Macaca mulatta: one gene and its partners. The protein of the gene in region 2 interacts with the protein of the main gene of each other region in a pairwise test. Links are inferred from orthologs where the notes say so. Each region holds a gene or a part of one and is shown on either strand. Other genes may lie near its edges.

Region 1 (4,403 bases), on a different chromosome or scaffold from region 2:
ACTCCAGCCTGGACAACAGAGTGAGACTCTGTCTCACAAAAAAAAAAAAAAAAAAAAAAAAGGCAAGCCGGGCATGGTGGCTCACATCTGTAGTCCCAGCACTTTGGGAGGCTGAGACAAGTGGACCACAAGGTCAGGAGTTCGAGACCAGCCTGGCCAATATGGTGAAACCCGTCTCTACTAAAAATACAAAAATTAGCTGACATGGTGGCAGGTGCCTGTAGTCTCAGCTACTTGGGAGGCTGAGGCAGGAGAATCGCTTGAACCTGGAAGGCGGAGGTTGCAGTGAGCCAAGATCGCGCCACTGCACTCCAGCCTGGGCGACAGAGCAAGGCTCCATCTCAAAAAAAAAAAAAAAAAACTTTATTAAAAAAAAAACTTTATGTTAAGAAAAGTCATTAGAGTGGGCCCTATTTCTACATGCCTGGTATCCTTATAAGAAGAGATCTAGACAGAAACACTACAGAGTGAAGACCAAGTGAAGACACAGGGAGAAGAGAGTCATCTATAAGTAAGGAGAGAGGCCTGGAACAGATCCTTCCTTCACATCCCTCAGAAGAAATCAGCCTTGCCAACACCTTGATCTCAGACTTCCAGCCTTCAGATCTAGGAGAAAACAAATTTGTGTTGTCTAAGCTGCCCAATCTGTGAAACTTTGTTATTGGCAGCACTAGCATACAAATACAAGCAGGGAGGCAGGTGGCTGCCCCCCCACCATTGGTCAGGCATGTGACATGCATCTACTCATTTCTTCTGCACTATGGTTCCTTCTGAAGCCAAGGAGCTATTTTTATCCCTGACTTAGAAGAGGGACCAGAGGACGAAGGAGGTCCAAAGCTCACCCCAAGTCACCCTAGGTGGCAGGCTGCAAGCTGATTCCAGGTCTGTCTGACTCCAAGTTCTGTGCACTTTGTGTCACGTGGACTGCATCTCTGAATGGCCACCGAGGTTATCTGGTTAGACACCTTCATGTTATGGATGGGATGACAAAGGCCCTGGAAACCCAGCAGGTTGTCCAAATACATATAGCTAGATGACAAACCCATTAAGATTCACTAACCCAAGTCCTGCATTCTCCTCACCAAATTAAAGTACCTTAAAGTGGATGAGCATGCCTTAAGCCAGAGGTCTGGATATATGAAAGAGAGATGATAAACCTATCTACTGTCAATAGATAAACTGATCTATTGACAATGATGCAATAAACCTGAGTCACCAGAGGTCTACTTCTCTGCATCCAGGGAACTGACCAAGCTTGTCAACCTCGCAGGAAGATGATAGACGCTCAAAGCTACAGAAAAATCACAAATAAATGAATGGCGCAAACCAATAGATGGTCAGGATACCTGACCGTGGTGTAAGACGCTTTACCTCTCTGACCTTCTCATCTGGAAAAAAGCAGTAAACACCATACGTTGAACACTTACAGTATGTGAGGCACCGAGCAGCTATTGCACACATATAGCTCATCTGATCTTTGTAAAAGTCCTGGGGGTGTGGATATTATCCCTGTGGCAGTCTTAAGGGTGTGCTGCTCAGATCTCCCTCCAAAAGAAAACAGGCTATGAGGAGTGAAGGCAGCCGACAATCTCCATCTTTGCAGTCCACCATGGCATTCAACTTGGGGAGAGAGACTGTCTCCCCAGGCTGCCAGCCAATGGAATGAACACACCAGGGGTGCCAGTCTGCCCATTTCTGCCCCATGTTAGATTCTTCTAATGAGCAATCACTGCCTTGCTGAGACTTCCTCAAAACTACACTGTAGTCTAAGGTTCTTCCTGCTCAATCCTCCTTCTTTCCCCTCTCGTTTCACCAGTCAGACCAGCATCACGGACTGAAAATTTCCCTGCCTACTACTGTTTCCTTGTTCCTTTATCCTTTATTGTCATTTCCCCCAATAAATACCTTGCATAATTCTGTCTTGGCATCTACATCAAAGAACCCAAAATAATAACACTCCCGTTTTACAGATGAGAAAACTGAGTGATTAATACATCTAAGGTCATATAATTAGGAATCAAACCCACATCTCTCTCTGACTCCCAAGTCCAAGTTCTTAACCAATGGTTTAAAGAACAAAGAAAGTGTGAAGATACAACTGAAAAACAATGCTATAAAAATTCAGATGACTATGCAAAAGGCAAAGCTGCGCCATGAGAAGGACACCGTATCAAGAAACTACTCCATTATTTACTATCAGAGTGATGAGTCCTTTAATCTCATTCTCCCTATTTTATGGATGACAAGACTACCACCAAACCTGCTTACCTCACAAGGTAGTTGCAATAATCAAATGAGACTCCTCCTCCAAGAGAAAAGGGAAACAAACACAGTATGTGAGAAGATTCTCCTAACTGCAAAGCAAGTGGAGGCAAATGGATAATGGCTCTGAACCTGAAGGATTCTACTGAAGGAACTTCTCCCAAACAGGTCCCCAAATTTGGGGATGGAAAAAACAAAAAAGGCGAAGTAAAATATTCCAAATCTCCAAATGGCTTTTCTGCCTCAAGACTATGTGTTTTGTTCATGCCCACATCCCCAGAGCCTATAACAGCACCTGACTGGTATGTGTTAGGCACTCAGGAAATCACTGCTGAATGAGAACAATTTACAGAAGACCCCCAACCCACACCTTTCTGTCCTTCAAGACACAGGGCCATTCCTCCCACACAGCCTCACATGCAAAGCAGAATACCTGGCAGTTCATGTTGTCCTCTGCTTCAATGAGCTTCCCCCGATATACCTCACCGGTGTTCGTCTCACATGTCACAATGTGGCCCTCGGCCTCGTGCAGCACTTTAATTGGCACACCAATAGACATCTTGGCAGGAAGAGAGCTCTACAGTGAAAGAGACAACAGTCAGTTCATCTTTCAGAGTCTGAGAAGGCATGCGGCACACGTCATGCCTCCTTCAAGGCCTGGCACTCCATAAAACTTAGCAAAAACGCCAAAGCTGCATTTTCTATCAAAGAAAAAGAAAAAAGAAAGCTCAGCTCCTGGCTTGGAGGAAACTATCTGGCAAATATGTGCAAGATGTCGGGTGAGGAGGAATGGTGGGGTGGACAGAAGTAAAAACAGGAATGAAAAGAGAGCATCTCCCATCGACCATGTGTCCCTGCTACCCTATGTCCCTTAATCTTCAGCTAAAGGACCATTAGCGAATACTGTGTGTGTAGGGGAGGGGGATTGGAATGTTAATCTGTTGCACTGTTATTTGTCAACCCTTAATTGTAGATTATTACATTTTGACAATCATAACACAGGCCTGAGCTGTCCAATACAGTAGCTCATGTCCACATGTAGCTATTTAAATTAAACTTAACTAAAACACAATAGAATTAAAATAAAAAACCCAGTCCCTCAATCCCAGTGGCCATATTCCAAGTGCTCAACAGCTACATGTAGCTGGTGGCTACCCTACGGAAGGAGCAGATACAGACCTAAGGACCATGCATATCTAGGAGAGGAGACTGTACTTTTAATGCAGCTCTTTAACCCTTCCCTTACTTTACCATCAAGGATATTGAGAAAATATCAAAGTGACAACGTGCTATATGCAGGAAATGCCCGTCATGGAGGAAAATAAGGGAAAGCACCTGACTTGACCTAATTAAAAGCATCAAGTAGTGAACTTTTTATTGACATGAGCGACGACTCAAAGTTGGAACCTAAGTGCACCTAAGACAGGAGAACATGAGGTTGAAAAGACAGGCTCCTTTGGTGAGGATCCCTGGCTTTCAGCCTTAGGAGCCTAGATTTTATGCTGAAGATAGTGGGGAACCACTGCAAAATTATAGGTAAAGAATGACACAATGAAAAGGTAGCAGCATTTATTTACAAAATGGATCTAACGTAAGGTTTAGAAGCAGAGAAACTTGTTAAAATTTCTGCAACAGTTAAAACTGCTGCAACAGTGTGGAAAGCATGACGGGACCACTGCCTGAAAGGGAGCTGGGGGCAGAGATGCAAAGAACTTTTTAAAAAATGACCGGCTGGGCGCGATGGCTCACGCCCGTAGTCCCAACACTTTTGAAGGACGAAGCCGGTGGATCCCTTGAGCCCAGGAGTTCGAGACCAGCCAGGGTAACATGGTGAAACCGTCTCTACTTTAAAAAAAAAAAAAAAAAAAAAAACCCTCATAGGATTTGACTTCAAGATTCAAAAAACTCATAGGAAATGACTTCAAGATTACTGCCTGGAAACTTTGAAAAACACTCACCTGGAGAGATACAGAATGTAAGAAGCATGCACATTGAGGGGGCAGCTAATGAACTTACTTCCAGGCGCTAGTGAGGCGACGCTGATGTTTGGGTGGTCCAAACTTCCCGCTTTCTTCCCTCCCCGAATCCCGCAGAGTTCATGCATTGAGTCTTTCTCCAGCCCCCGGCCCCTCACAGGCACC
Region 2 (3,646 bases):
CCCATCCCCACTTCCCTTCAGATAACATGACTTAGTAACAGGAGAAGCAGGAGGCCACGTGGGAAGCAGCACAACCACTTAAAACCCCCTGGGTCATGAAAACATTATTAACCAACACCAGTCAATGCACAAAGTGAAAGTTAGCAGAAAACCTTTTTATCCTAAGAATGAAAGAGAATATGATTTGAATCTACTGCTTAATAGGCATCACCTCATCCACAGTAACTTAAGATCTCATCAAAATCAACAGGCAAAAAAATATATACAACAGTACCTCACAGTTTAATTGCTCTATGCATTTATTATTAGCTATTATTAATGCAGAATGAGGGGACAAAAAGCTCACAAACACTCTACACAATTTCACAAGACGCATTGCAGGGGGAAAAGTGACTGAGATGGATCAACAGTATGCTAGGGTCTTGGTGGACGCATTCCTGGGGGAGGTGGACCTGGAAAGGAAATAGAAACATTGAGAAAAAGAGGATACACATATTCAGGGGCCTGGCTGAACCATCAAGCCCCTATGCTCCCACTCACCTCTAATTCCTGGTGGAGGGGGTCTCATTCCCGGAGGGGGCATGCCTATTGGCGTCCCTCGAGCAGGGGGAAGCCCAATTGGTGGGCCCATGGGTGGTCTCATACCAGGTGGAGGAGCCATAATGCCTGCGATGAAAAATGGTAGAAATAAAGGCCTTATAAACCGGCTTAGAAAAGCTGTTAGAATTTAGCCCAAATAATCCCTAAAGAAATGGGCCAGACAACAGTGATAAGAGTCAAATAATTTCTAAATGACAATTACTCTCCTACGTCTTTCATTAAACACCAGTACCTAGAAGAGGGAGGAAGCATATGCCCCGGATTCTGAGTTAGGCTCTCAGGCTGTGTCTTAAATCAGTAAGCTCTCTCTAGTCAGAGATTCAAATTCGTCTTAATGTTCACCAATCCCTTACCTGGAGGTGGGGTTGCTCTGCCAACAGGTGGGGGCGGAGTCCCCCGTCCTGGTGGGTACTGTGTTGGGGCTCCAGCAATGCTGGCGGTGGCAGCAACGGCAGCAGCTGCTACAGTGCCTCTTCCCTGTGGAGTCATTACCTGAGAAGGCAAGGGGAGAAACCAACAAAGTGATACATACCTTCACGTTATTCAAACACAGAAAATAAATGAGAAAAATGACCAATTAGATACAAACAACTGTTGCAATGTTGTACTTCTCTCATTATTCCCATGTTTTTTTTTTTTTGAGACAGTTTCACTCTTGTCACCCAGGCTGCAATGCAATGGTGCAATCTCAGCCCACTGCAGCCTCCCACTCCCGGGTTCAAGCGATTCTCCTGTCTCAGCCTGCTGGGTAGCCGGGATCACAGGTGCCCCCAACCAGGCCCAGCAGGTTTTTGTACTTTTAGTAGAGACGGGGTTTTCACCATGTGGGCCAGGCTGGTCTCCAACTCCTGACCTCAAGTGATCTGCCCACTGTGGCCTCCCAAAGTGCTGGACTACAGGCATAAGCCACCGCACCTGCCTATTCCCATATTTTAAAAACTAATCTTAGTACACTGACATCCACAAAGCCCTTTGATCTTTTCAACTGAGGTATATCCAGGCATTCTGTTCACTCACCACTAGTGGCAAGTTACTCTTACCAAGAGTAACTCAGGTAATTTTAATCACCCAATGACCATTTTAAGTAGCTAGTTTTATTCCCTTCCTCCTGTGTATCTGTCCGTTGGTTCCTCCTAGACCATATGCCCTTTACATAGTATGACATGTACACTCAGGTTTTTAAATCTCCTCGGCCTCTGGCTTAGTCACATTCTCCCAATATAAAACCCTCCGCTGGTTCCTCACCTGCTGGGACGGTCCCCCAACTCCTCGGACAGGGCCTGCCAATCCAGCAGGGGCCTGGGGAATTGGCACACCAGCTGGTACTCCTCTACCAGCTGCCCTACCAACCCCAGGGCCTCCAGCAGCTCCAGCAAGTGGTACCCGAGCAATGCCAGTCTGAAAGAAAATGTATAGCCTAAAATCAAACAATTTACAAGTTCTCAGTATTTTTATGCATCAGAGATCACTTCTCTCCACCATTTTCCCAGACACTTATCTCGTATTAGTTCTGTATCCAAATGAACAAGCAAGTATACCATGGAGGTATCTTGTGGATAAAATGCGCATTATTTGTCAAATTGTGAAAACAGCTCTTTTATAAACATACCAAGCAAACATGAATCAGCAACTCCTACCCTCACCTAGGTAATGCCCAGCACACAGAATAATTCACCAAAAAACCCTTAATCCCAAATAGCATAGGCAACCAACAATTGATACTAAGTGCTTGGCACATTTGACAATCCATGTTAAACTGTGTCTGTGCTGTACCGTGATTTCAGACATCTCACATAATATGATGTCCTTGCAAATTAGAGTTCTGTCCTGCTCTACATCTTCCTTACATCTTTGGGGGGTGGCCCCTCCACAGTCATGGATACCAAGTTCTCCCCACGCAGCAACACCAGACCCAAAACCCGCTTTTCTTCACGCTCTGGTTGCTTCGCATTCTTTGGCCTACAAATCAGAATTAAATTTTAGTGAGATAATTTTAGTGACCCCTAGATTACTCACTCATCAAAATATTTATACAACCTCAAGTATCAATTAAGGCAACCGATGCTAAACAGATATTAAGTTATCACTGAAAAACAAACAAAAAAAAATCCGTAAACAGTTAATATAAAAGGGTAAATAGTAAAGCTGTTTCTGATCTAACTTTAGTCTTTTACAGAATGTTCCTTTGATGTTAACACTACAACAAGACGAATTTCTTTTGTAAAACGCCTTTTAAGGAAAACAAAGTTGAAACTTCGGTTTCCATATTAAAATGGAAATTTCTTTAAAAAATTACTTAAATAATTAAATCATAATGACAGGGTGACACAACTGAAATAATGCGAACAGTAATAGGCAAAGAGAGGATAACAAATAGCAACCATATCCCAACTCCTCAACCGTGAAGAGCAATTATTATTCTCTATTTCAACCCAGATTTATTCAGTCTAAGACTGCTGCAGAAGCCAACCAATTAATTAACAATAGCATTTTTCTCAATTTTAAAAATAAATATAACTTAATATTTTGAGCACAACATACACTTTTATTCCCAGTAATAAATCCATGATTGTCTCACAAACTTAAGAGTTTATATGCAGACTCTGACCTAATTCAGAGATCAGGTCAAGAGGTGAAACAATAGACTGGCTCTACCTTAGCTTCCCTACCTACCTCAGTTACCCTTGGAAATCCCTTACTCCAGGTCTGGCCTTCCCTTCCCACTGCCTCTGCGTCCAACCCCCATTTACCCAAATCAGCTTACTTGATCTTTCTGAACTCATCACAATCACAGAGGATCAAATTCATATGCTTGTCAAAAGCCTTAAAGGTGCCAATGAAGATTCGGCCATCTTGTAGGATACATCTCATTCTATAGTCAATGTGCTGCAGCATCTTGCTACTCTTGCCCACAGTCTGGAAGCAGTAAGACAAGAGTCATGTTCAGGTTGCCAACACCCTAGTCTTCTAATCTTCTGTTTCTTCTCCGCCCTTATATAATCCAAGCCTGGTTTCCTTAACTAAACAAATATTCTCTCCTACTTTT
Region 3 (3,265 bases), on a different chromosome or scaffold from region 2:
GGAGTTTGCTGCTCACTGTGGGGTGAGGACGGAGCCACGGGCTCCAGGCCTGCCTCGCCTCGGTCCTGTGAGGGTTGATCGTCCTCCTCAGCCCCTCTTCGGGCAGGGCTCCCCACCAGCCAGGAGAGAGTGAGGCCCCAGTGTCCGTGAGTGGTCCCCACAGGCCCTGGCCATGGAGTCATGGCGTCATGTCCAGACCTGCAATCCCTGCAGCGCCCTGGGACCCCAGGCAGCCCTGGGTTGGATGGTCAGCCACAGGAGGAGACACCCCGCAGGGGCAGTACCAGCCTGCAGCTCCTGGGGCTACAGGACCTTCGGCCGGGAGGGGCCAGGCCAGCATGTCCCCCCATCAGGGCTCCTCCCCCAAGGGGCTTGGAGATTAAATCCTTTGGGCTCCCACACCCGCTGCTGTCAGGAGCCCCTGGTGTGTCTGATGGTCCTGGGGCTGAGCTCTTGTGCTCAGCCCGCCTGCCAAGCGGAGCGGGGCCGTGGGGTCTGTGGGTCCCAGGCAGGGTCCCCCACAGGGGTTCCAGTGCCCAGCCACTTCCCCCCCGCACCCAGCCACAGCACTCGGGCTGCACTGACCATGCTGTGCTGTTCCCAGCTTTAGCCAGGGCCCCCTGAAGGATGCACCCAATCTTATCTGCACCCCCCACGCTGCGTGGTACAGCGAGCAGGCTTCCATCGAGATGCGAGAGGAGGCGGCACGGGAGATCCGCAGAGCCATCACAGGTGGGCCTGGGGGACTCTTCCTGCCAGCCCCAGGCCTGGCTCATGGGCTCGCATCCGCCCAGCAGCCAGGCCCATGTTCTGCCAGCTCAGGGCCCATGGTGCTCTCACTGCACCCCCAGCAGGGACCTCTAAGGCCAAAGTCAGGTTGAGCCCTGGCGTCGTCTTACACACAAGAGCTGCTGGGAAGTTGCTGGGCTGAGCAGACAGGTCCCTCAGCAAACTGGGCACATGCTCTGGGCTGGGGGTCCCCACGCTGCGAGGGTTCTGGTGCCCTGAGAGACAGGACCCTGCCATGCCTTGGGAGCCCCGGGGCTGAGAGGGAGGAGCACACTGCCGAGAGCTCTACAGCCCGTGTCTTCAACCCAGTGGGCCACGCTCCTGGGGCCCCCTGAGAGCCACAGCTATTCCTCCCTCCTGCCTCTCCCAGGCCGGATCCCAGACAGCCTGAAGAACTGTGTCAACAAGGACCATCTGACGGCAGCCACCCACTGGGCCAGCATGGACCCCGCTGTCGTGCACCCTGAGCTCAACGGGGCCGCCTATAGGTGAGCAGGCCCGCTGGCCCGGAACAGCCACCAGGAGGGCCCGAGGCTTCCCCTGGATCCCAGCACAGCCCCTGGCGGGAGGGGCGGCGTCTCCACTGACTGACCTGGAGGATCTGGGTGGAACTGGTAAGGCCCACCTCACCCGAAAGGCCTATGAGAACCAGGGCCTCTTGGAAGGAGCTGGGGTGGCCTTCAGGACCCAGTGCGCACAGGACTACTGTGGGCACGGGGCCTGTGGGAGGAGGGGGCTTTGGGTGAGGCGAAGACCTCATGTTCAAGTCGCCTGGAGACACCAGGGCTCCCCTCCCCTGCCCTGAGAAGTAGCCCCCGTAGGCGGGAGCATCCGTGCGGAGGCGGGATCCTCACCCTGACTGCTGGTCCCGCTGGAGCCGCCCCTCAGTGCTGCAGACGCTGTGAGGGCAGGTGGGGCCCGGTCAGGCTGCCTGTAGGGGGCCTCACAGACGGACCCTCTCCCAGCAGGTACCCTCCAGGCGTGGTGGGCGTGGCCCCCACTGGCATCCCCGCTGCTGTGGAAGGTATCGTCCCCAGCGCCATGTCCCTGTCCCATGGCCTGCCCCCTGTGGCCCACCCACCCCATGCCCCTTCTCCTGGCCAAACTGTCAAGCCCGAGGCAGATAGAGACCACGCCAGTGACCAGTTGTAGCCCGGGAGGAGCTCTCCAGCCTCAGCGCCTGGGCAGAGGGCCCGGAAACCCTCGGACCAGAGTGTGTGGAGGAGGTGCCTGTGTGGCGGCCCTGGCACTGCAGAGACTGGTCCGGGCTGTCAGGAGGCGGGAGGGGGCAGCGCTGGGCCTCGTGTCGCTTGTCGTCCGTCCTGTGGGCGCTCTGCCCCGTGTCCTTCGCGTTCCTCGTTAAGCAGAAGAAGTCAGTAGTTATTCTCCCATGAACGTTCTTGTCTGTGTACAGTTTTTAGAACATTACAAAGGATCTGTTTGCTTAGCTGTCAACAAAAAGAAAACCTGAAGGAGCATTCGGAAGTCAATTTGAGGTTTTTTTTTTTCTTTTGGTTTTTTTTTTTCTTCTTTTTTTTGTATGTTGGAACGTGCCCCAGAATGAGGCAGTTGGCAAACTTCTCAGGACAATGAATCCTTCCCGTTTTTCTTTTTATGCCACACAGTGCATTGTTTTTTCTACCTGCTTGTCTTATTTTTAGAATAATTTAGAAAAACAAAACAAAGGCTGTTTTTCCTAATTTGGCATGAACCCCCCCTTGTTCCAAATAAAGACGGCATCACGAAGCGGCTCCAAAAGGAAAAGCTTGGGCGGTGCCCAGCGTGCCCGCTGCCCATCGACATCTGTCCTGGGGATGTGGAGGGTGGCAGCGTCCCTGTCTGCACCAGTGCCGTCCTGCTGATGTGGTAGGCTAGCAATATTTTGGTTAAAATCATGTTTGTGACTGTAACCATTTGTATGAATTATTTTAAAGAAATAAAAATCCCGGAAAGAGCCAGTTTGCCTAGCATTTGTTCTAGTGGCTTTCTGTCATGAGGACACGGGTGAGCCTCAGTCCTGGCTCTGGTGACCTCCAGGGCCTAGCTCAGCCTCTCTGAAGTAGGCAGCCTAAGAGAGACTCAGATACAATGCAGTGGCAGGTTGGGCAGTGGTCTCTGTGTGTACCGGGCCTGTGCCTCTGCCCACTGGGTCTGTGGGATGCTGTAGGGTCCTGGCTTGGAGGTGGCCTGCCCGAAGTGCCCCTGTGGGAGGGAAGCAGTGTGCCAGGCCGGGCCTGCCCCACTGCCCACCCCCTCCCTTCTTGGCATACCTCCCGCAGGCCGGCCTGTGACCTGGGAAGACTGTGGGCCACAGGAGGAGGAAGGAAAGCAGATGTCAGGACTGAGGAAGTTCCCCCGACCATGGGTCACCCAGCCTACAGAAATGTGCAAAAAAGCCAAAAGGTGTCGCACCTCACCTTGGCCCACAGCTGGGCTGGATGTTCAGCCGCAGGAGGAGACACCCCTGCAGGGGTAG

What was found.
Region 1: the proteins of SNRPN (region 2) and SNRPD3 interact in a two-hybrid assay, tested with the Homo sapiens proteins (2 studies listed by BioGRID, with this or other methods). The link is inferred for Macaca mulatta from reciprocal best matches to the Homo sapiens genes SNRPN and SNRPD3.
Region 3: the proteins of SNRPN (region 2) and CTBP1 interact in a two-hybrid assay, tested with the Homo sapiens proteins (2 studies listed by BioGRID and IntAct). The link is inferred for Macaca mulatta from reciprocal best matches to the Homo sapiens genes SNRPN and CTBP1.

What each region holds. Positions count from the first base shown.
Region 1 is NC_133415.1:28,770,516-28,774,918, forward strand, and holds the start of SNRPD3 (small nuclear ribonucleoprotein Sm D3), read right to left. Parts: upstream 2,840-4,403; 5' UTR 2,822-2,839; coding exon 2,696-2,821; intron 1-2,695. Other genes in the region: protein GUCD1, read left to right, coding at 4,269-4,403. UniProt on the Homo sapiens protein: Plays a role in pre-mRNA splicing as a core component of the spliceosomal U1, U2, U4 and U5 small nuclear ribonucleoproteins (snRNPs), the building blocks of the spliceosome.
Region 2 is NC_133412.1:4,999,146-5,002,791, forward strand, and holds the end of SNRPN (small nuclear ribonucleoprotein-associated protein N), read right to left. Parts: intron 3,517-3,646; coding exon 3,365-3,516; intron 2,560-3,364; coding exon 2,448-2,559; intron 1,999-2,447; coding exon 1,846-1,998; intron 1,093-1,845; coding exon 954-1,092; intron 667-953; coding exon 541-666; intron 453-540; coding exon 415-452; 3' UTR 276-414; downstream 1-275.
Region 3 is NC_133410.1:1,286,511-1,289,775, reverse strand, and holds the end of CTBP1 (C-terminal-binding protein 1), read left to right. Parts: intron 1-604; coding exon 605-732; exon of another isoform or gene 733-807; intron 808-1,133; exon of another isoform or gene 1,134-1,159; coding exon 1,160-1,277; intron 1,278-1,754; coding exon of another isoform or gene 1,755-1,757; coding exon 1,758-1,941; 3' UTR 1,942-2,743; downstream 2,744-3,265. UniProt on the Homo sapiens protein: Corepressor targeting diverse transcription regulators such as GLIS2 or BCL6. Has dehydrogenase activity. Involved in controlling the equilibrium between tubular and stacked structures in the Golgi complex.